3 linked regions of the Elephas maximus indicus genome follow. The protein of the gene in region 3 purifies or fractionates together with the protein of the main gene of each other region. This does not show direct contact. Links are inferred from orthologs where the notes say so. Each region holds a gene or a part of one and is shown on either strand. Other genes may lie near its edges. The genes, in order: COP1, TRIB1 and STK40.

The links.
Region 1: the proteins of STK40 (region 3) and COP1 purify together in Homo sapiens (affinity purification with mass spectrometry; 3 studies listed by BioGRID and IntAct, counting the BioPlex papers as one, with this or other methods). This does not show direct contact. The link is inferred for Elephas maximus indicus from reciprocal best matches to the Homo sapiens genes STK40 and COP1.
Region 2: the proteins of STK40 (region 3) and TRIB1 purify together in Homo sapiens (affinity purification with mass spectrometry; 3 studies listed by BioGRID and IntAct, counting the BioPlex papers as one, with this or other methods). This does not show direct contact. The link is inferred for Elephas maximus indicus from reciprocal best matches to the Homo sapiens genes STK40 and TRIB1.

The regions. Positions count from the first base shown.
Region 1 is NC_064842.1:38,684,276-38,691,492, forward strand, and holds the start of COP1 (E3 ubiquitin-protein ligase COP1), read right to left. Parts: upstream 3,056-7,217; 5' UTR 2,781-3,055; coding exon 2,374-2,780; intron 1-2,373. UniProt on the Homo sapiens protein: E3 ubiquitin-protein ligase that mediates ubiquitination and subsequent proteasomal degradation of target proteins.
Region 2 is NC_064833.1:17,722,840-17,730,766, forward strand, and holds the start of TRIB1 (tribbles homolog 1), read right to left. Parts: upstream 3,048-7,927; 5' UTR 2,235-3,047; coding exon 1,875-2,234; intron 1-1,874. UniProt on the Homo sapiens protein: Adapter protein involved in protein degradation by interacting with COP1 ubiquitin ligase. The COP1-binding motif is masked by autoinhibitory interactions with the protein kinase domain.
Region 3 is NC_064821.1:77,738,188-77,745,464, reverse strand, and holds the start of STK40 (serine/threonine-protein kinase 40), read left to right. Parts: upstream 1-4,197; 5' UTR 4,198-4,699; coding exon 4,700-4,706; intron 4,707-4,945; exon of another isoform or gene 4,946-5,125; intron 5,126-7,277. Other genes in the region: U7 snRNA-associated Sm-like protein LSm10, read left to right, coding at 1-28. UniProt on the Homo sapiens protein: May be a negative regulator of NF-kappa-B and p53-mediated gene transcription.

The sequences.
Region 1 (7,217 bases), on a different chromosome or scaffold from region 3:
AATATGCAAAATTTTTAACTGAAAACTCTCAGTGGACACTTCCACACTACAGTATAAACGAAAACAGAATAATTTAAGCAGCATGATTAGAACTCAAGAGACTAGACTGAAATTTTTAAATTAGGTGATGGGCTAATAAAAATTTTAATAATCTTGTTTCAAAAAAAAAAAAAAGTGCCAGCTGCTTAAACTGTTTCTACCCTTTCCAAACCCAAACCAAACCCACTGCCGTCAAGTTGATTCCAACTCAAGGTGACCCTACAGGACAGAGGTAAACTGCCCAACAGGGTTTCCAAGGCTGTAAATCTTTACAGGAGCAGACTGCTACATCTTTCTCCCGCAGAGCAGCTGGTAGGTTCAAACCACTGGTTAGCACCAAGAGCTTAACCACTGAGCAACCAGTGCTCCCCACCCTCTCCAATTCCCTATAAAATAGCCTATAGCACACTGAAACTCACATGGTGCCTGGCAGACAGTGAGTATTAAGTAAGTATTTGTTAAATGAATGAATAATTCCCTTACCTCTCACATCTTTTACCCTGTTTTAGTATACCTATTTTTTTTTTTTATATGGATGCTGGAAGCTCTGGTGGCACAATGGTTAAGCGCTCAGCTGCTAATCAAAAGGTCGGCAGTTTGAATACAGCAGCCAATCCTTGGAAGCCTCATGGGACAGTTCTACTGTCCTACAGGGTTGCAATGAGCCAAAATCAACTCAACGGCAATGGGGTTGGGTTTGGTTTTTTATATGGATGCTGATGCGTTTGTTTTCTTTTCAGTCTACTGAAAATTGAAATGGTAGCAAAAAGACTAAATTCTGCAAACCCTCCACTTTATTTTACTAGCTTCTACCTTACCACGTGGCACTCTCTAAAAACAAAATAAAAAAAAACCCACTTCCGTCAAGTCGATTCCGACTCATAGCAACCGTACAAGACAGAGTAGAACTGCCCCACAGGGTTTCCAAAGGAGCAGGTGATGGATTCAAACTGCCAGCCTTTTGGTTAGCAGCCGAGCTCTTAACCATTATGCCACCAAGGCTCCTCTCTACTGAGTATGAAGGCAAACACCTCTTAGATCCAATCATAAACTGCTAAAATTATTCATAACTATCATTCACAATTATAGCCCAGGTTCAACGAAAAATGAAATAATTCTGAATCCAAAATAATTTAAAAGAAAAGCAGAAATATGAATAAAGACAGTATTATTTTTCTGCAAGAGTCATAAACTGTATATCTAATCAACAGCTTCCCTAGCAGTTCCAACTTATTCCCCTATCATACTTAATGACACCAACCCAGATCATCCCCATAATGTTAGTGCAAGCCAACTTTCTACAACATAATCTCTTAAGGAAATCTATCAATTTCCTCCAAAAGAAAAGCACAAAACCCCACCAGTTTCTACTCAGCTAATTCCTTTCTCATAATCCAACCAATAATATCCAAAACCCAATAAAAATCCCAAAACACTTTCAGCAAGTCAACTTCATATGGCTAGCCCGTCTATGCCAAATCTCATGACTGAATAGTACTGTGTCATTCAAGATGCCAACTATGATGGCAAAATCTCTAATACCTAGCGTTTCTCAAATCAGAAGCTCCAGTATACTCTAATGCGTTATACGAGTGTAATACAACTGTAATTAACACACCGATGATGTTTACTAAATGTGGTTCCCTCTTGAAGATATTCGATTGAGAAATTGAATATTTTGTGAATAGACTTTGACTACAGCAGATATAAAAGTGGCCTACACTTTGAAATGTGAGACGAGATATATTTAAATACACATGTACACACACAACTGATACTTAAATACTACTTCCCCTTAAAACATCCTTACCCGTGTTTACAGCACCATGCACCATACCGCCAGTAAGCAAATCCTGACCAGCAACGCCATCCCTCAGCATCCCAGGAAGCTTCACCCTCTTCACAAATTTAATTCACCTCAACAAGTAATCGGATTGATTTTTGGGTGCCTAAAACGCCAGACAGCCAGAAAATGCAAGGCCCAACCTTCTTACCCAACTTTCTTCTTTATCCACAACATTATTCGATGCTCCATCTCCCCATCCTATTTATTATGCCTTAAATTCCTCTCACTTCCTCCCCACCACTGCTCACCTCTTCACTACCCCCAACCTGCCTTGGGACTTCAACATCTCCTCACTCCTCCCCTCCGTCCTTACCACCCCCCCACCCCCACCACCGCTACAAGTTCGAATCTCGGAAACGCTGACTTCAGAACAAAACCAGTATCCAAGCTCTTACACAGGCCACCCTCACACTGGACCCCACCAGCCTAACCAGCAGGAACTCGTAACACACAGGGGGCAAGGGGTGCGGGGTGTTATTCAAACCTACCAGACGAAGTCGTTGCTTTTGTCTTCATAGGAGTTGATGAGCCCGTTGCAGAGCGGGGTGGGCAGAGGTCGCTTCCTGCTGCCGCTGCCTAGGCTGGAGCTGCTCCCACCTACGCCGGGGCTGGGCCTGGCCGCGCAGCTGAGCCGGGACGGGCCCACGGACACCGCCCCGCCGCCGCTGCCCGACGCCGCGGCCGCCACCAGCACAGGCCGCACCGGGCCCCCGAGGCCGCCCGAGCCCGCGGCCTGGGCCGCTCCGCCGGACACCAGCGCCGCCGCCGAAGCCGCCACGGAAGGGGGCGACGGGGAAGAGGATAAGGACGAGGAGGCGGAAGTCACCGAGGAGGCCGCCGAGGAGCCAGGGCTCGTCCCAGCGGAGCCCGATCCGGCCGGGCGGCTACCTGACATCGTGACTCCCTCCCCCCCGGCACGGCGCTCGGAGGAGAGGGACCCAGACACGACCCACCGCCGCCTCCCCTCCCTCAGTCTCAGTGCATCCCGAGGACGCGCGCCGCGCCGGGAGGTGGGGCTGAGGAACAATAAAGTTGATTTTTTTCTTAAGGCATCCACACAACGGTGTCCGACGGGAGGGGGCGGAGGAAACTAATAAAGGGGAGTAGAAACCACTACCGCTCTCGAGGCCGCCGCCGCCGCCAACCCCTGCGCGCCGTGGGCAGGTCGTGCGCGCGCGCGCGCGCGCGAGCGGCGGAAGGGGCGGGAGCGGCGGGGGATACAACTTTCTACGCCGCCCGGGCGGTGCTCGTGCACGAACGGCGACGGCGGCGGCTTAGCAACCAGAGGAGCCCTGGGCGGGAGCTGTTTTCGCTGGTGACGTACGGAAGGGTAGGCAGTCTTAATGGAGTGAAAGGGCGGAGGAGAGTAAAATGAACGGTAGGATTGGTGGTTTGGTGGACGGGGAGCGGGGGCAGGAGAAGAGAGCCGCTCACAAAACGACTGCATACGCGCGCCCTGGGCGCCCACCCTCGCGAGCTAGCTAGGGTCTCCGTTCCAGGCGAGGAAGAGCGTGATATACGCATGCGTGGGAGCGAACCGCGTTCCTGAGTGTGAAGAGGGAGCGATCCCTGTCTCCTGAGAGGCGGATGGGTGACCCAATAGCAAGAGCACGACAGGTGCTTCTCGATCAGGGATTGAAGGTGCTGTAGACTGGGGACAAACGGAAGGAACCTGGAAGCACCGCGCAGTTCGAAAGAACCCTGGACTGAGAGTCAAGGTTTCCAGGCTCTGCTGTTATTGAGCCATTCTACAGTGTTGTGAGAATTAAATAAAGGTGAAGTCAGTGAAGAGTGTAGCAAGTTTTACCAGTTTGACCATGAGCTTATTTTAAACGTTGTTTACTAAGTTGGGTGTGACATAATAGGAAAACAGATTATACTCAATCGGAAGACAGGTCAGTCAAACCTCAGTTTAATGTGGAATTGATATCATTCTATCACAAAACAAGGAAACACAATATTCGATACCACCGGAAAATATGCAATTTCTGTTAAACCTTTTGGAATATTGAAAATTGCCTACAGAGTTTCGTTTACCACTTTGAGAATCCCTAAGGTTCTTGGGGATGTATGTAAGTTAGAAACAGCTGAACTGGGTGATTTTCAGTATCTTTTCCGTCTCCATCATTCTGTGATTCTTAGAGGAAAGGATCTGATTTAGTTTTGTCCTGAGTGTTGAAGAAGCCTATAGGGAAAGCAAGGAACTTTTCTGAAGGACATCAATGTATGTAAGGGGGCTAGGTCACAGAGGGGCTTGAGTGAAGGCCCAGAAACTCGGATTTAGCCACCCAGCTGGGCAGTGAACTTTCATAAGGTTGCCACCCTCTTCACTCTGCCTTAGCTGTTCACCTTGGTATTCCCACCTTGGGTTTACCTCAAGTTTCTGCTTAGAATGATGGTATAGGAATGGATTTATCAGATTTCCAAGAACCTCCTTGCAAGAACATTGCCTCATCCAACTCTTGTTTCAAACTATTTTCTAGACACAGCTGAAATGTGAAGCCTTCCCTGACTCTATCCTTAGCAGAGATAGTTGAGCCGTCTTTTGTGCTCCTATGATTGTTTGTACTTATATAATTGTATTTTAATTGTTTATGTGTTATTCTCCACTAGCCTGTCAACCACAACTTTCTTTGTATTTCCAACATGTTACACCATGCCTGGTGCTTATTGTTTGTTGACTAATAAATGAATAAAGCCAATGATCTCATTTTTATTTTAATTATTTCTTAAATGTTTGTCTGTCTAACTAAATTGTTAAGTTTCGTGAAAACAAGGCCATATTGGTCTGTTTGAGGCATTCGGTGTTTGGTGAAGGAAAGCATAAATAGATGAACATAATTTGATGAAAATTCATTGAATGCTTAGTACGGGAAGGCATGGGCTAACCAAGGAAGAGACAAAACCACACCTGTTGCCATGGAGTAGATTTTGACTCATAGCAACCCTATAGGACAGAGTAGAACTGGCCCATAGGGTTTCTAAGGCTGTAAATCTTTATGGAAGCAGACTGCCACATCTTTCTCCCTGACCTTTCAATTAGCAGCCAAGTGCTTAACCACTGAGCTACCAGGGCTCCTCAGGAAGAGATAGAGAAGTCTATAAAACAAGCTTATGGAATAATTGAGGACTTACAGAAATGGATTTTAAAAAGCTAGATGATGATGCCAAGGAACACATGCTTAATGCATAATGGATAAAAATCCAATAGGAGCTGAAGCAAGAGCAAGTACTGAAGACCAGCCATGTTGATGAGGGAAGGAATTAGGCTTTAAGAGAAAAGTATGGTTTGATCAAGCAGAAAGTATAATTGAAGTCATGAACCCAGAAAATAATCAGTAAAAATGCTTACATCAAGTTCAGTTATCTATTTCATAGGGGTAGAAGAGTTTATTTGGGAGAACTTCATTTGGGAACAAGATTGTAAAAAGGTTGAAATCCAGTTTTGGGCATATCCTATAAGGCAATTGGAAACAGTGAAGGTATCCGGCAGGGTAAGCGTAGGGAATATATTCAAAGTGTTAAAGAATAAGCTTTCAGAAGATTAATCTTTCAGAAGAGCTGAAAGATTCAGAGCAAACAGACTAAGAAAACATTATCAGTCTGAGCCTAAGTGATGAGATTCTAGATGAGGGTGGTGGCAAGGAAAGCAAGGGAGTATCTGAGAAAAACACTAAAGAATTTAGGAATAAATTACTCTCTGCAAAAGAATCTTTAAGCTCCTTGAGGACATGACCTATGTCTGTCATGTTCATCACTGTCTTTCCCACATGCATAGTATGTTGATTAAGTAAAAAAGATGGAGCACAAAGAGTAAGGAATGACTCCAGAGATGACTCTTGGGATAACCATAGCATGATGACAGAATTCGAGACATCTGGCAGATGGTTTAGTTTTGGGTATGTTGAATGAGGGTGGAAAAAACATTTACTAAGCATATCCGGGCAATGATTAAAAATGCAGGGCTGGGCCAAAGAGAAATTTCAGCACTTGAGAAATTTGGAAATTAGTAAGGGGATAATATATCTATAATCAAAGAGTTATTAAGGGCCTGTCACTTGCTGTGCATGTTACTACACCCATGAGTCTTAAACTATGCTGCAAAAAAGAATCATGTAGAGAGTTTGTTAAAAACTGTGGATTTCTAAGTTCCACCCCAAAAAGATTCTGATTAATAGGCCTGAAATACCCTTTGCCATCGAGTCAATTCTGACTCATTGTAAGGGCCTAAGAATATGGACTTTTACCAGCACTCAGGTGAATCTGACGTGAGTGACCAACTCTGAGAAACATTGTGCTTTATTCTGTGGGAGGTATAAGAGAAATAATGTGAAGTAGTCTTCTATCCAGGTAGCTTAGGTGCCTAAAAGTAATATGGCCCCAACTGAGAAGTCTCCCAGGAAAAAATCTTCAGTGCTTGGTATTACCTCTTGGGAACCTATTTTCAGTAAATTCACAAAAGGAAATGGGATGTGATACAGTGGCATTTCCTTTTTTTTACCAGATAAATGTATAAAGACTGTGTTCTGAGAATACACAGGCCTTCCTAGTTTCTACTGGCAAGATCTTCTGGGAAAACAGAAGAGGAAGCATGACAAAACATACACAAAGAAGGAAGTCAGGCAACTCAAAATATGAGAAGAGAAATAAATTGTTGGCCGGTGCCGTCGAGTCAGCTCTGACTCATAGTGTCCTCATGTACAACAGAAGGAAACACTGCCTGGTCCTGCACCATCCTCACAGTCGTTGCTATGAAGTAGAGAATAGGAAAAAAGAAAAAAATTAATAAAAGATGAAAGTAAGTGCATAATAAAAGCTAAGTCTGAATAGTCAAAGGAATTTTATCCCATGAACCACAAAAATAGCAATGAAAACAAAATCCAAAGTCTTCTAGCAAAAACACTTATACTGAAGTAAAATCTAATGGAGTTAAAGTGGAATATAATTACCAAGAGGATTGAGCTTCCCAGACCTATTTCTGAGGTGCCTTATGCAAGTATGATATTTTAGGGAGATAAGGTCACTGTTTTCCACCTCCATCTAGCCCTGCCCTTTGGCTGTCACCCCAACCAAACAATCCCCCCAATAAGCTTTGTCTGCCTGACTCACCTGTAGGGTTTGCTGTATAACTAAGTCTTTGAATAATAGCTTCTTCTTAAAAAAAAAAAATAATAATGTGCTTGATCCATTAAAGCAAATTAGTGATGTGAAATAAACTAAACACGACATGGAAAAACTGGTGAGAAAAGAAAACATTTTCTGTGAGTGTGAATGGACAGGAAAGGAATAGAAAAGTTTCTGTGAACCCAACAATATAAATGTGTCTAGCAGA
Region 2 (7,927 bases), on a different chromosome or scaffold from region 3:
ACTCCCAGTTGCCCCTAACATCATTAAAACTGGTAACACCTAGGACTCTGGGATAGCAAACATCTTAAGAGTCACCCCCTTCATAGGGATGGTTTGATTGAACTGTCTATATCTACATGTTTCTCTTCCACCAGCTCCTGAGAGCAAGCCCCAAAGCCCCCACACTCTGTGGCCCTTCCTTGTTTGCAGGCAAGGCTGCAAAGTGGCTGATAGAAGGCACCTCCTGGGGTCCCCAGAAACAGAAATCAGCCTCTGGAAATGCATGTCCTCCTGCAGACCCAAAGTGCTCACAAAAAGGGCACACATGGTGACTGACGCTGCAGCCTCCTCAGGGAGGCAGGGGCCAGAGAACAGGCAGCTCTGTCATCAGTCAGGAGGAAGGGATGAGCTGGAGCAAGAGGGAGCCTGTGACACCAAGGTCAGCAGTCTGACTCAGGTATAAGCCTCCCTGAGTTAGAGTCTCACAGCAGGGGCATGGGATCCTGTGAACATTTCTTTTTTTTCCTTTGTTTATTCCCCACCCAACCCCCACCCCACAGGAAATGGGTAGTATCTCCTCTAAGAAGCTGGCTGGACTCTTTAAGGCCCTTTTGTTTGGTTCGGTTACTCATATCCTAGACTCTACTGGAAACGGTGACACACGGGTTGTCACCATCTGGATTCAGCTATTATCTGCTCAGAGGAACTGGAAGGAGTTGCACAATGGCTAGACCCACCCCACCTCTGAGGGCTGGCTGCTCTGGCACCAGCCAGAAAAATCCCTCCGACGCCCCCTCCTCTCGCCCCACCCCAGACCCAAACACACACATACTTTTCCCAAAACAGCTCTGAGCCTCAGCTACACAGAAAATAAGACTTTTTTCCCTTTTAAACTGGACTTGACCGTGCATTTGAAATTTCATTCCCCTCGGACAGTAGGTGGCAGCAGCAAGCCCAGGGACTGGGAGAGTCAGGTGAATTGCAGAAAACCCGGAGCGACTTTAACTTGGGGTGACCCCCTCTTTCGGGTGAAGGCTCTCAGGACTGCTTGGGGGGTGGGGAGTGCCAGGATCGCAAAGGGTGGGCGGCAGAAATGCCCTGCGTCCATGAGCTCTGGTGGAGGAAGCGCGGACCCTGTCCCTAAGAGTGGTATCTCGCGGACCCTGTCTCTAAGAGTTGTATCTCCTGCTGCGGGATGGGGATCCCTAATGTTCAAATGCAGATCGCTGGCCGGGATATAAATAAGTGAATAAAAGTGAGGGTTCCTCGCCGGTGTAGCGTTTCCAACAGTCCTACTCTGGGAAGGTCCCTCCCCGCCCCCTCGCCCCCCGCCCCAGCTAGAAGGTCCCGGGAGTGCGGGGACGGTCTTGGCGGCGTTCTCGTCCCAGCGCGGGTCAAGCCAGAATCCCCCAGACGGGAGCCCAACACAGTCTTTCCACCCTTTACCACCCGCAGCTGAGCCCGGGCGCCTAGAAATCCCGGCCCGGGAGTTGCCAGCTGCTTCAAGCTCCGAGGAGGCACCCAAGGCAGGCCTCTTTCCAGGACAAGGAGGCGGGGGGGGGGGGGAGCAGGAGAATGAGGGAAGGGGAATGGCATGGCCCTGGAATTCATTTCAATTCCACAACTTATATGGAACGCCACGCGCTGAGCTGGGCGCCAAGGAAAGGAATATAGCGATAAAACAATTGAGGGCTGCACTTTTCGCCGCCGAGCCCCCCTTATACCACGACCCCTCTTTCTCCCAAAAGGATGACCCAGTCACATACCGCCTTACCGCACTTGACCCACTTATTCGCCCTGCCCCAAGCCTTGGTAGTACCTGCGGCGTCCCAAGCCCCTCTGCCCGCCTCCACGCCCCCCAGCCCCCCGCTGGATCCTGGTCCCCAGGCGCCTACCTTGCAGCGCAGCTCTCGGCCGGTGTGGATACACAGCGCCCGCGACACATGCTCGCGCTCGGCCAGGGGCAGCAGCAGGTAGTCAGCGATGCGGCTGGGCCCCGGCGCGCTCCCAGAGCTGCCGCCGGCGCCCGGCACGGCAGGCGGGGGCTGCGGGCTGCAGGGCGAGCCGGGAGGGCTGAGGTAGTCGGGGGGATTCGAGCACTCGGAGAGGCGCGGGCACTTGGCCGCCACGGCTGCCGCGTCGTCTGCATCCAGCAGGCGCTTGGCCGGGGTGCCCCGGGCGCCCGGGAGAAGTAGGACCGGGCTGCGGGACTGCGCGGCGCCGCTCATGGCCGAGCGCACGGGGCCGGCCCGCATCCCGTCCCGGGCCGAGGCGGCGCCGGCTTTGTGCGTCCGGCGACCCGCGCGGGAAGGCGCTGCGGGCTCGGCGCCGCGACTTCTTCCAGCTCGCGGGACAGAGTATACAGCCCGGGCTTGGCTCTGCCCTCACGGGGATTAGAGCAGAAGTCCCTCCCTGGAGCTCGCGGTGCACGCGGAGACCACGCTGGCCGCGCGTCCAGGGGGTGAAGGCCGGTTCGGTTCCCCGGATCCCCACGGGCACCGGCTCCGGGCGCCTGGCCGGGGACGGCCGCCGTTATTATTGCCGCGGCTGCGAACAGTCCGGGAGACAGAGGCGGTGGCTGGCGTTCCCTGGGTCCCGAGCCGCGAGGTACAGGATTCCGCGGGATCCGATAAGCCTCGGATCCAATGTACTTCCCAAAGCAAAAAGTCTCGGAGCCAAGCTGGAGCAACTTTTCCGCGGGGCTCCGGATCCTGTGCGCTCCTGGGCTCCTGGCGTGTGAGCTAGCGAGACGCGCTCGGAGAGAGTGACTGAGTGTGAGTGAGTGTGTCGCCGCACCGATCCCGGCCAGTGCACGCCTCCTTCTTTTCCTCCACCTCCTCCGCCTCCCGGTGACTCACGCTGTATACACACACACTCACAGACCGGGCTGTGTAAACAGTTGGGAAGCCGGGTTGTGCAATGAGGTGGCAGCGACGACTCCGACCCTGCCGCCCGGCTAGCAATCACCGGAGCGGAGGGGGGAGCATAGGAGGTGGAGCTGGGCCGGCGCGGGGGATGGGGGGAGCCCGGGACAGGGGATGCTCTGGGCAGCGTGCTCGGGCGCAGGTGGTGCGTCCGGCCCGGCTTGGGCGCGCGCACACGCCCCCGGGGCTGGGCTGGGCTGGCCTGGAGGCGGCGCGCGCACTCGGCAGGGGGCCGGCTCCGCACTAGAAGCCGGAGGAGGGGGCCAAGGAAACGTCCCTGTGACGTCAGGGTCCCGGGAAGTGGGCGGGAGGGGCGGGGCGCAGGGGGTGAGGCGGCCGCGGATTGGTGCGCGCGCCCCATTCACACCGAGCACAATGGGCTGCGGAGCAAGGCGGGCGCGCGAGTCCCCGAGCCCGGCGGAAGGGCGCGCGCACCACGGTTCTCTGCACCCGCGGCTGTTGCAGCCCAGTGGTTACGCCTTTAGCCCCGGGGATACCCCCACCGCCCAGCGCCTCGGGAGCTCCGCTTGGAGCCGTAGGCGCCGCCGACGCCCGGCTGCAGCCCGAGGAAGGGGCGGGCTGGGGAAGGTGTTAAATTCCAGAATCAGTCATTCACCCCCACGCGGTAGTTCCGGGGAAGACCTGTGCGTGGTAGTAGATGTGGCTTTTTTTTTTTCCCCCTTTTCCTGCCCCCTCCCATCTCTAATCCCCAGCGTCTGTTCGCTTCCACAAATAGAACCTTCTGTTGGATGAAATAAAAGCAAACACAGGGCCTTCTGCGCTGCCTCCACCTCCACGCCCCTCCCGCTCCTGCCGCCCGCCGGGATTGCACGGAAATAGCTTCTCCCGGCTCCCGGGCCGCCCCTTCGCGGTGACTCGCTGAAAGAGCTTCCTGAGCCAGGGCCGGTGGGAAACAAAGGATGTGGGGAGCTGGCGGAAGGGGCCCACGTGGCCGCTGCCGGATCCCTGCCCCTTCCTCGGCCTCCCCACGCGCCACAGGGTCTGGGGCCCCCGTACCAGCCCCGGCCCTGGGGTGGGTGGGTACGGAGTAGGAATCATTCTGACCACCGCCGCGATGTTGTCTGCACGGGGGCAACCCTGCCAGGCCGTGTGGGTGCATCCGTGCAAAGTGATTTCATCGTGCACCAGATATGTGCCAGAGCCTGCACAAAAGTCCAGGAAAAAAGCTTGGAATTTGTCGTTTTTCTTTAAGAGAACCAGGTCAGTTTGCAGTCCCTGGACGCTCAGCATAGATAACTATTATCATAGAGCCCTTGCACTTCTGCTGCTAACTACTTAATTTTCTAAAACCAGGTCAAGCACCAAGGATAAATTCCTTTCTATATTAATCCTCCCTTCATTCAGCAATCACTAATTAAGCTGGACACTGGAGATTAGAAGATGAAAATCCAAGTAATAATATTTAATGTCAGTTGAGGCCTACTACGTGCCAGGCTCTGCTCCAAACACTTTTACATGTATTACTTCATTCTTAACAACAACCCTTAGGCTCATAGCGACCCAGTGTGACAGAGTAGAGCTGCCCCATAGGGTTTCCTAGGCTGTAATCTTTACGGAAACAGATGGCCAGCTCTTTTCTCCCATGGAGGCCCTGCGACCTTTGGGTTAGCAGACACTGAAGCTTAGAAAGATTAAGTAACCTGGACTGGACAAATAGCTAGTAAGTTTTGTTGTTAGCTGCCCACTAGTTTAAAAGGAGCCCTGGTGGTGCAGTGGTTAAGCACTCCACTACTAACCGAAACGTTGGCGGTTGGAACCTACTAGCCACTCCACTGGGGAAAAGATATGGCAGTCCACTTCGGTAAAGATTTCAGCCTTGGAAACCCTGTGTGGCAGTTGGGAATGGACTTGCTGGCAACAGGGTTTGGGGTGGTTTTTTTTTTTTTTTTTGATCACATGATTCCCTTAGGTGCTCTTTTGGTACCTTTACAGCAGAACTTGGTAAGACCCTTACCAGTTACCTTGGAGACTATGGCTATTGATGGCCACCCCATGCGTGTCAGAGTGAAACTGTACCACACGGTTTTCAATGCCTGATTTTTCAGAAAAAAGATTTGCCAGGCCTTTCTTCCAAGGCACCTCCGGGTGGACTCCAACCACCAACTTTTCAGTTAGCAGCCCAGCACATTAACTGTTTGCATCCGGTAGGACTGTAGGATCTTTGAAAGCCAAAATCAAGTCTGTGCGTGTACACGCGTGTGCATTTGTGCGTAAGTGTATCTTACAGAGCCCAGCACAATGCCAAGCTGGCACTGGATGCTCAATACATGGTGAACTGGGGAGAAAGACTGATTTGCGTCTGCCTTTTCAGGAACTCATATATTGTGTAATGTGGGGAAACTTGTAGTGATTTTTCTGGACAAGGTGGGGCTACCGATGAGCATGGGCTTAATTCATTTTCCCCACGTGCCAGGTAGGTGCATGGCAGCAAGATTAGGAAGGCTGTAAGCATTTTACACATTCTAAACTCAGGGAACTTTCTCATAGCTTCCAGGGTTCACAGGTTTCCATTTCTCTGCTTCAAAGAACACAAGGTTTTGCAGCCACACATAATGAGTACTGTGCGCCAAGTACATTTTGTTCCTTGACCCTAAATTCTAAACAAATGACCAAAAAAAAGAAAGAAAAAAAAAAAGGGAAACATATCTAGCCAAGACAATATGGGTATTTAAGATGATTTTGAAAGTTAGGAAAGAAACATTTGTTGATTTCCCGCCATCTGCTAAACCAGAACCAAGCCTGTTGCTGTAGAGCCGACTCTGACGCCCAGCAGCCCCTGTGCGTTCCTGTGGGCCACAGAGTTTTCAGTGGCTGTTCTTTCGGCAGAGGCTCACCAGGCCTCCGAGGTACCTCTGGGTGGACTCGACTGGCAAATCTTTCAGTTAGCAGCGAGCGCACTAAGCATTTATGTCACTCACGGACTCCTACCATAAGCTAAACCAAAAACAAAACAAAACAAAACAAACCCATTGCCATGGAGTCGGTTCCCACTCATAGCGACCCTATAGGACAGAGTAGAACTGCCCCGTAGTGTTTGAAGGAGCTGCTGGTGATTCAAACTGCCAACCTTTTGGTTCGTAGCTGAGCTCTTAACCACTGTGCTGCCAGGGCTCAGTACCATATGCTAGACCCTTTCATATTCTCTTGTTTAATGTTCAATAAAATTTCACAAAATAGTTATTATTGCCACCATTTGTACAGATGCCCAAACTGGCTCAGAGAAGTTGATTAGCTTGTCTAAGTTCACACAGCTAGAACGTGGCAGTTAGAATGGGAACCCTGGTCGGGCTGGCTCCAAACTTCGCTCTTCCTACTTTATGCACTATCCTAATCTCCCAGTAAGGAGCCGTGATGGCACGATGGCTAAGAGCTTGGCTGCTAACCGAAAGGTTGGTGGTTCAAACCCACCAGCTGCTCCACAAGAGGAAAGAGCTGGTGATCTGCTCCCATAAAGATTACAGACGGGGAAACCCTATAAGGCAGTTCTACTCTGTCATATAGGGCCACTATGAGTCAAAATCAACTCAATGGCACATAACAACAGGTCTTCCAATAAAGAGAAATTCTATCCAAAAAATAAGTCTTTTAAGAGCACAGGAAGCCTTAGATTCCCAGAGGTCTTCCCCTAACATTTGTGGAGACGTGACTCCTCTTCTCTTCCCCGTCCTCCCCATGAAGGGCCTCCAGGGCATAGCCTTGGACATCCCAGCTAACATATCCCAACTCCATCCACACCCCCGACAGTCACTGTACCTGGGCCCTTCCTTGACCACCCACAGGCCTAGAAGTGCACATAGCAGTGACAGCAGGTCACCTTGGAAAGATGGACCCGGGAAAGAGACCCCCTGAGCTCAGGAAACAGGTTCCAGGCCTTTGGGATAGGGAATTCTGGGGTCCTGGGTACCTAGGATTTGTTCTAGAAGGGCAGGTGCAGTCTAGGAAGGCAAGCCTTCTTCCCCCTGCATACTCCCCACTCCAAGGGGGTAGATGTGGCCAGAAGGAGGGCCAGGGTAAGGCCCTGAATGGCCCAGGTCTAAGGGAGCTACTGAACTCCCATGAAAAATTCCTGGGCACATTATCTAGACCCTCTGTCCCACCTCCTTACATGCCCACTGCTCCTCTTGACCTGATCTGTAATCAGCACAGTCCATGCCCTTCAAGGAAGGAGCCACAGAGGGGCAGGCAGAATTAACAGAAAGGTAGACACGCAATTAGAATCCAATGCCTAGAAAAGGGAGAGGATAACGCGGCAGGGGGAGGAAGGAAGGATCAGGGAAGACATCACAGAGGAGGTGGCCTTGGCAGGGCCGTGGATGATCTATTACCTGTCTTCATTGGTGGCCCATCCTGTGCTTGCACGCACTTGCTGGGGTGGCCGAACTGGAAGCTTCTCAGGGATGAATCTGGGGTGCCCTGGGTCCAGTGACAAGCACAGCTCCATACCTGCCTTGGGTCAAATGGCGAGACACTCCTCACCTTCTTCTAAGTCACCTGCTGCAGCTTTCATTCTGTGAGTTCTCCCTGTCCATTGGCATCTGGTTCGCTGTTGCCTTAATTCCTCTTCTAGCACCTGGACAAAGACCAGCCCTCTCCCCTGCTTGGGTTGGAACTCTCCTCACTCCCACTGGCTAGGTCTCTAACCACTGGGTACCTGGCCAGTCACCTGCTTTCTCCACATCCGCTGTAGGCTGGGAGGGGGCTGGAGGATGGAAGGCAGCATGGGGTGCCTCATACGGGTGAAAATCATTTTGTCAACTGTGATGCTTTGTATGCATGTGAGGCACTAGTTTTATTGCCAGTGGAAAGGGCACAGGCCTTTGAGACAAAAGACCTGAGTTCAAGTCCTGGCCCTGCCATTAGCTCACCGTGTGAATTAGGCAGCTCACTTCTCCTCCATGGACCTCATTTTTCTTTCTTTCAACCTTTCTTTTGTTCATTCATTCATTCGTTTGTTCTTTCTCTTCCTTCCTTTTTATCCTTCCATTCTTTCTTCCTTTCCTTCC
Region 3 (7,277 bases):
GGAATTTCCCTCCAAAAACTATAAGTGAGGCTGCTCCCTCAGCACGTCCCACCCCCGACTCAGGTTCCGACTGAGTTCTACTGAGCCAACTCCCTGCCATTCCTCCCTGCCCTGAGCCTGAGGAGGGAGCAGGGCCAGCCCAGAGACCGGTGTTGGACAGACACCTCCTGTCACAGCTGCCTTTCACAGAGTTCTACCTCCCAGACTCAACCTGGAACCCAGAATCTAATTTATCTCTTTGTGGCCTTGGGATAAGTGACAAGCCCCTCTTTTGATCGTTTGCATCTGAATTCCTGATTTACTGATTTAGGTAGTCTGTCGAATAGTTTTCATTTCAACCCTCTGCCATGAGGATTATTAAATATACTCAGCCTGAGCCACCCATAACTGTCCCCTTTTCTCTTGCAGTTGTGTTCATATTCTCATAAGACCAAACTTGGATACAAATAAGTCCATGACTCATGCTTTCCCTGCTGAGTGTGGGGCTCCCTGCCTTTCCTGTGCAGTAGGACACTGGCTTTCAAACTAAGATGCGCATGGCATCACCTGGGGAGCTTTAAAAGAAACTGAGGCTTGGGTCCCACCCTCTGATTTTTTGATTTAGTTGGCTGGGGCATTGGGATGTTTTTAAAGTTCCCCCAGGTGATTCTAATATGCAGCAAAGTTTGAGAACTGTTGTAGGAGAGTACCTCAGTCTGGTCAGGTGGGAAGTGGCTGTTCGCTTCAGACCCCCTGTGGAGGAGGCTTTTGGTCTCATTTCTGTTTCCTGAGGTGGAGAGAGTGAAGTATCCTAAACCCTCACCTCAGATGTGGGGGCTCAGCCAACAGCAAGAAATTAGTCTCAGATTCTGAAGAGTCCTTGGTTCCTCGAGGAAGAGGGAGGGGGTTGTGGGGATAAGAACCCAAGTCTCTGTTGTAGCTATCTTGTAGACATTTCTGTGGAGTTATACTCTACAGTTATACTCTGACACACATGAGGTCACATGAGTCGGAGTTGACTCTTCAGCGACTAGTTGATTAGGTTAGTTAAGCCCTGTTTACCCAAATGCGGCACACAGCTGTTTCTTCCTGAGGGTCTTGTTACCTCCCTGGCGCTCCACCCAGGAAAAGGAGCACGGTTCCTCCTGCTCTCAGATCCCCTAGACCTAGCTGATGATGTCAGCTAGGAGCCTGAAGAGAAGTTCCTCCATTGTCAGAGACGCCGCCAAGTCTCAGTCGCCCAGATCCAGTGATACACAGTTTTCTAAATTTGTATCTCTGCACAGGGATTCTTTCCATTCCTCCCTGAAGGCTAGGCTTTTGGAATTCAGACGCTAAAAATTGACTCAGTTGTGTTGTGTCATTCCTTTCCTGAAGGCAGGAAAGCAGAATAGACTGCATAAGGAAAGGGCAGAGGGACACCAAAGAAAAGATGAAAGACATTATTTCAACATGTTATGCCCCCACTGGAGTTTGGATTTTGTGCCACTCATTGCCATGGCCTTTGTTCAAGCACACACATATCCCCCTTCCTGCGGCTTCAGCCAGTGTGTGGGTCACAGGAATTCTGAGTGCTCAGGTGGCGTGGAGGAGTTACCCCCACCTCCCCATATACCGCCTTGCCTGGAGAGAGACTACAGGGGTCTCATCTGGGGGAGGGAACTACCACAGCTCCGATGAAGTCCCAGTGGGTCTGCAGCTTGAAGTTCAGATTTCTCCAGAGGCATACAAGGGAACCAGCCACTCCAGCTGTCAGCCTGGAAGAGCTGGATGGAACTTGAGAGACCAGTTCAGTGGTTTCCAGTCTGGCATCCCCAGCTGTAGGGGTCCCCAAGGGCGGCAGGGGTCCCTTGAGTTGTCAGTATTCCAGAAAGACCTAGAAACAGCACCCAAGCTATGATCAAGCTGGCTTATCAGGCCATTTTGGGCTGGAATTATACCAACTTAGTGTGGTGATCAGAAACCCTGGTGGCATAGTGGTTAAGAGCTACAGCTGCTAACCAAAATGTCAGCAGTTAAAATCCACCAGGTGCTCCTTGGAAACCCTATGGGGCAGTTCTATTCGGCCTATAGAGTCGCTATGAATCAGAATTGACTCGACAGCAACAGGTTTTTTTGTTTTTTTTTTTAGTATGGTGGCCACACTGATTTCCTCTTACTGAGCACAAGATCTAATGGCTGTAACACAAGGCTGTCATAAACCAAAAGGAAGAAGTTACTTGATGTAGATTGTATAGGAGACAAAATCTTACCGAATATGAGATTCTCAAGGAGGGAAAATACTACAAGAGGCTTTGAAGGTGAGAAGGTCATCAGTCCACAAAGTTGACTGCCGGGTTGCTCCTCCCTGACTAAAACAGCTACTGCTGGTTGAATCTCACTATGAGCCAGGCCCTGTGCTAGGGGCCTTACATGCCTCACAAGGGCAGAGCTGCTGACTGTTTGGGTATTACTGGATCCCCAGGATCTAGCTCAATGCTCTGCACATAGCAGACACTCCGTAAATCTTTGTGGAATGAAAGAATAATCTCGTTTCATCATTATAACAACCCTGGAGGTGTGTATTAACAACAGTATTTTACAGATGAGCCAGCCGACAGGCTCAGAGATGAAGCAGCTTGCTCAAGGTCATAGAGCCAGTAAGCAGCAGGGTAAGGATTCAAACTGAGGTCTGCCTGATTCCAGACCCCATGATCTTAACTACTACACTATACTATTGTGCCTCCTAGCACTCTTGACATCACACTGATGACAGAGTAAGACAGGAGGTGCCTGCTCACCTCAGTGATGGTACCCAGCCACAGGGTATGGATCTGGCACTCAAAACTTATACCATATCCAGCCCCTGGGGTCTGGGCACAAAGAGGAGCCAGAGACCAGCCAGCAAGTAGGGCTTACTAGGGTTCAGAAGCCTGAGGAAGCCCCTGGAGGTTGAAGGTCTTCTGTGATAGGCAGATCTGCCTGTGCCTCATCAAGCAACCATCTTATGCTGTTGTGACAGGTGTCACTTTGTTATGGCAGCACCGTCTGCCAGTATGCCCAGAGCTGGAGAGCCAGCAGGAAAATATGTCACTGTGTGTGTCTGTGTGTGTGTGTGCATGTCTTAGCAGTCTCCCCATGTTGGTGTCCTGATGACAACTTTACATTTCCTCTGGCTGACGCCTTTACTTTCTATTCATTACCTCTTCTCCTCTCTTCCTCCGCCTCTCCTTTGTTAAAATCCTATATTTTGAATCAGCTGAGAGTCTCCTGGGAGTGGGGATGGTGGTGTCAACCCCGAGTGATTCATCTAGCTGATAATTACAGCTCTGGAAAACCCAGAACTGATTCCTGTCAGAGTCAGGGCTTCCGGAATCCCTAGGCTTTTCCCTTTGTCAGAGAGAGGAATATGATGGGCCGGGACATTGTTATGGCTGTCTTCTGGTCATTCACCTCATTTAAGTTCTGTAACTGAGACGAATGTGAACACTCAGCAGGTACCATGAGAAGCTGCTTCCATAGCTCATGGAATGCTTGCTTGGTCCCATGATGTGTTATCCCTATTTTGACAGGCTGGGAAGAATAGGGAATTTGCACAGTCACCCAGCTTGTAAGTGATGCAGCAAGGATGCACATCCAAGCTTTCTGGAATCTACCAGATTTAGTTCCAGTCATAGCCCTGCCATTATTAGCTGTGTGTCTTTGAACAGGTTACTTTCACTCCCTGAACTGTAGCTCCCTCTTCTATAAACAGACTCCTAATTCCCACCTGGAGATGCCTATGTCTCCAAAGTGCTTCACACAGCATCTGGCACAGCAGCAGGAGCTGTTTCGATTACGGTGTTATCCAGCTCGATCATCTCAGTGGGCACTAGGCATTCAGAGAGACAAATGCACAAAGGCAGAGGCCGCCAGACCTCCCTCACCCCAACTCTCATGTCCTGGCACTACCTGTGTGGCAATGGCAAATGCACATACACATAAGTGCCTGGCCACACGCCCTAGGAAAACTCGGCAGTGCACACAGGCTCAGACACATGTGCCCACACATGGACACAGAATGACCCCGGGGACAGCGAGAAACGCACCCAGGAGCTAGACAGTCATATGCAGCAGGCACCCTGGCTCACACCTCTGAGATAAAAGAGTGGGTCTATGGCCGCGAGTCCTGCTGCCACTGACCCCTTCTAGCTGCTTCTGCATGCCAGGGGAGGGAAGCCGGGCTCTCAGAGGGCCCCAGTGAGTCACCAGCCTGATGCAATCCTTTTAAAGGGCTCATCTGCTGCTGCAAGAAGCTGATTCATGGAGGGCGTGGTTGCTGGAGGAGGAGAAAGGGACCGAAACTGCAGCAGGAGGGACTGAGGTTAGATGACTAGAAGCGTAAATAGGAGCTTTTCATTGTAAACCTCCCTAGTCAAGTCTCCGGGGATCTCCAGGTCGAAGATACCCATTCTCTGGGTTTCTACAAAGGAGAGGGGGCCTAGAAGGGAATGAATTGTGAGGGTTGCGACTGGAATTCCTGTCATTTATTGAACCTAACTGCAGCGCTCTCCGCAGAGCTCCAGAAACCGGTAAAATGGGGATCAAAGAAGAGCCACTTTTCAGATAAATACACTACAATTGGCCATCTTCCAACTGCTCGAGACCTCTCCTACCCCGCCAGGGCGAGTGTAGGGCACACGAGGTTCGGTGGCGTCAGGGCGGGGTCCTTGCTTCCGTTCCCGCCTCACCGCCGGCATAGATGAGCGGTAAGTACCGCCCCTTTAGAGTCTCAGGCTCCAATCGTTTTACAAATTTAGGCCCAGACCCCAGGGTGAACCAATCAGCAATCTGATTCTGGCCTCTTGCCTGAAGGCTTCCGCCCGTCGTCAAGATGGTGGCCGTGGGTTTTTTGTAGACACAGGCAAGGGGGAGGGTTGGGGGCGGGGCTGTGGCTTGGGCCAGAAAGGAGGGTGGCGGTGCGTCACTTCCGTTGTCAGGTGGCGGCGCCGCAGCCATGGAGGGAGGCGGCGGCGGCGGCGGTGGCTGCTCGGGCGGCTGCGCTGGGAGGCGGCGGTGAGCGGCTCCCACGCCCCCGGCCCGGCCCCGGGCCCCCGGCACGGAGCGCCGAGCAGCCCCGGCTCCGGGCTAAGGACTATGGGCGAGCAGCGCTGAGCACCCGGGGAAGGTGAGGTCGGGGGTCGCGAGGTGGGTAGCAGGGAGGGGGTTGGCGGGGCGGGCCTCAGCCGCCGTGGCAAAGGGACCGAGCTGACAGTCCGGGGCTATCCAGATGCGACAGAAATGGCAACAGCGCACGCCTCCTCCTATGCTGGGGGATCTGCCCTTCTTAGGCGGCTGAGGGCAACGGGGGCGGAGGCTGCTGCGCGCCGGGCACGGGGCGGCCGCGGGGAGCCTAGGTCCTTGCCGCAGCCTTGGTAGGTGGGCACTGCCAGTCCTGTCCAGGGACACTCAGCCAGTAAGTGAAAAAACTGAGCCCAGCCAGATTTTTCCCACGAGACACCCCCTGTCTCACCATACTTCCCTTCTGATCCCGAGAGTGACTTGAAACTTAGAACGAATCCCCAGGGAGGGCTAGGGCTTTCTCCAGGAGCACAAGCACCATAGCTGCCGGGGAATTTTCGCATCCTAGGCAGCGTTCAGGTACCAGTCAGAGCTGCCTGCCTGCCAGTGCTACATTTGGCCAGCCTTTTCCAAGGAGAGAGTCTGCTGTGGTCAGTGTTTTTCACCTGCTGTACCCGGGCCGGGCCCGCCCATTCCCACGCCGCTTGGCCCCACCTTGCAGTCCTTAGGTAGGGGCATTCCGATCCCCGATGTCGCGTTCTCTGGGCACCCCCACTCCCCAGGTTTGATGCCTTTTGTTGGCGGAAGGAAGAGATGACAGCCGTCTTCTGTGGTAGGGTAGACCTTGCTCTGTTTTAAGTCATGGGAGGAAACCGGTTGGCTTTGCTTGGTTTTGAGAACCATGGGTAAGAGGGTAGTCACGCTGGGCTGGGCACCTTTCTGTGTTGGCTGAGTAGTTTTGCATGAGATAAGGAAGAGTATAATATGTGACGGACTCTAAGTCATGGTAAATGTAATTGTAGGTCCCAAGAACCTTGTTTGTAAACAGTACTTGTGAGTTCCTCCAGAGCTCCTTAAGGGCCCTGTGGGCCAGTTGTTTGTGGTTTATATCTGGACATTCTGAAAGAAGCCCTCATTCATTCATTCATTCATTCATTTCCCACATGACAACAGGTTACTAAAAGCAGGCTTTGGGGCCAGACTTCCTGAGTTCAAATTGTGGTTCAGCAACTTGGAAGCTGTGTGACCTTGGGCATATTGCTTAACCTCTCTGTGCTTCAGTTTCCCCATTTGTAAAATAGAGTGATAACGTAGAGCTATTATGAAGATGTAAAAAGTTAACACATAAAATACCTAGGACAGTGTCTGCCACATAATAAAAGTTCAAAAAATGTTAGCTTTTTTTTTTTTTAATTTTAGCTATTCTTACTTCAAGGGGCTCATGATCTAGTTAAGGGAGACTGACTTATAAACAAATAATTGAAACGTGTCACAAAAAGCTAGTAGCCGCAGGAGCAAAGGGCTGTGGGAGCCCAGTGAAGGAAACTGCTGGCACAACTTGGAAGGGGGTGAGGGTACTGGGAAGTCTTGGCAGAAGACATGATGCTGGAGCTGAGTCTGGAAGGATAGGAAGGTGTGGCCAGGTGAGAATGGAAGAGCAAGGTATTCTACTTGGAGAGAGAGATAGAAGTAAACTCACAGTTAATTCCAGAAATTTGCAATTGTTCACTGTGATGTATGGAAGTGGGCACAGCATAAGATGAGTCTAGATAGGTTGACACAGGAATGGCACATTAACGATTTGGGACTTTATGCCAAGGCAGTGAGGAGCCAGTGGAGGTTTTAAGCAGAGAATAGAAGTGATGGGAGCCGTGTTTAAGAAAGGTCTCCTTGGAGTCCCAGCAGAGGAGGGAAGGAAGGGGAGAGGTGAGACCAAAGCACTGGAGACCTCTGAGAGAGGTCACTGCAGGCCAATGAGAGGAGAGTTGGTGCTGGGGTGGTGGATCTTTGCTGGGGAAGCACCAATGCCAAGTGACAAGCTCCCTGCATTGGCCTGGGCTTCTCTGCCTGCACAAAGTGCCAGGTGCATGTCCCCTCACTTCCTGGGGTTGCAAGCAGGTGGGGAAGTGAGGCTGCTCTCTCAGGGACCTGGTGGTGGTCTGAGCCAGTATTGGGGGAAGGGGGCTGCATTTGTCTACTGTGCCTTTAATATGACCTTTTGGGAAGGCAGTAGGTCTTCGTGGTTAGGAGCTTATTTG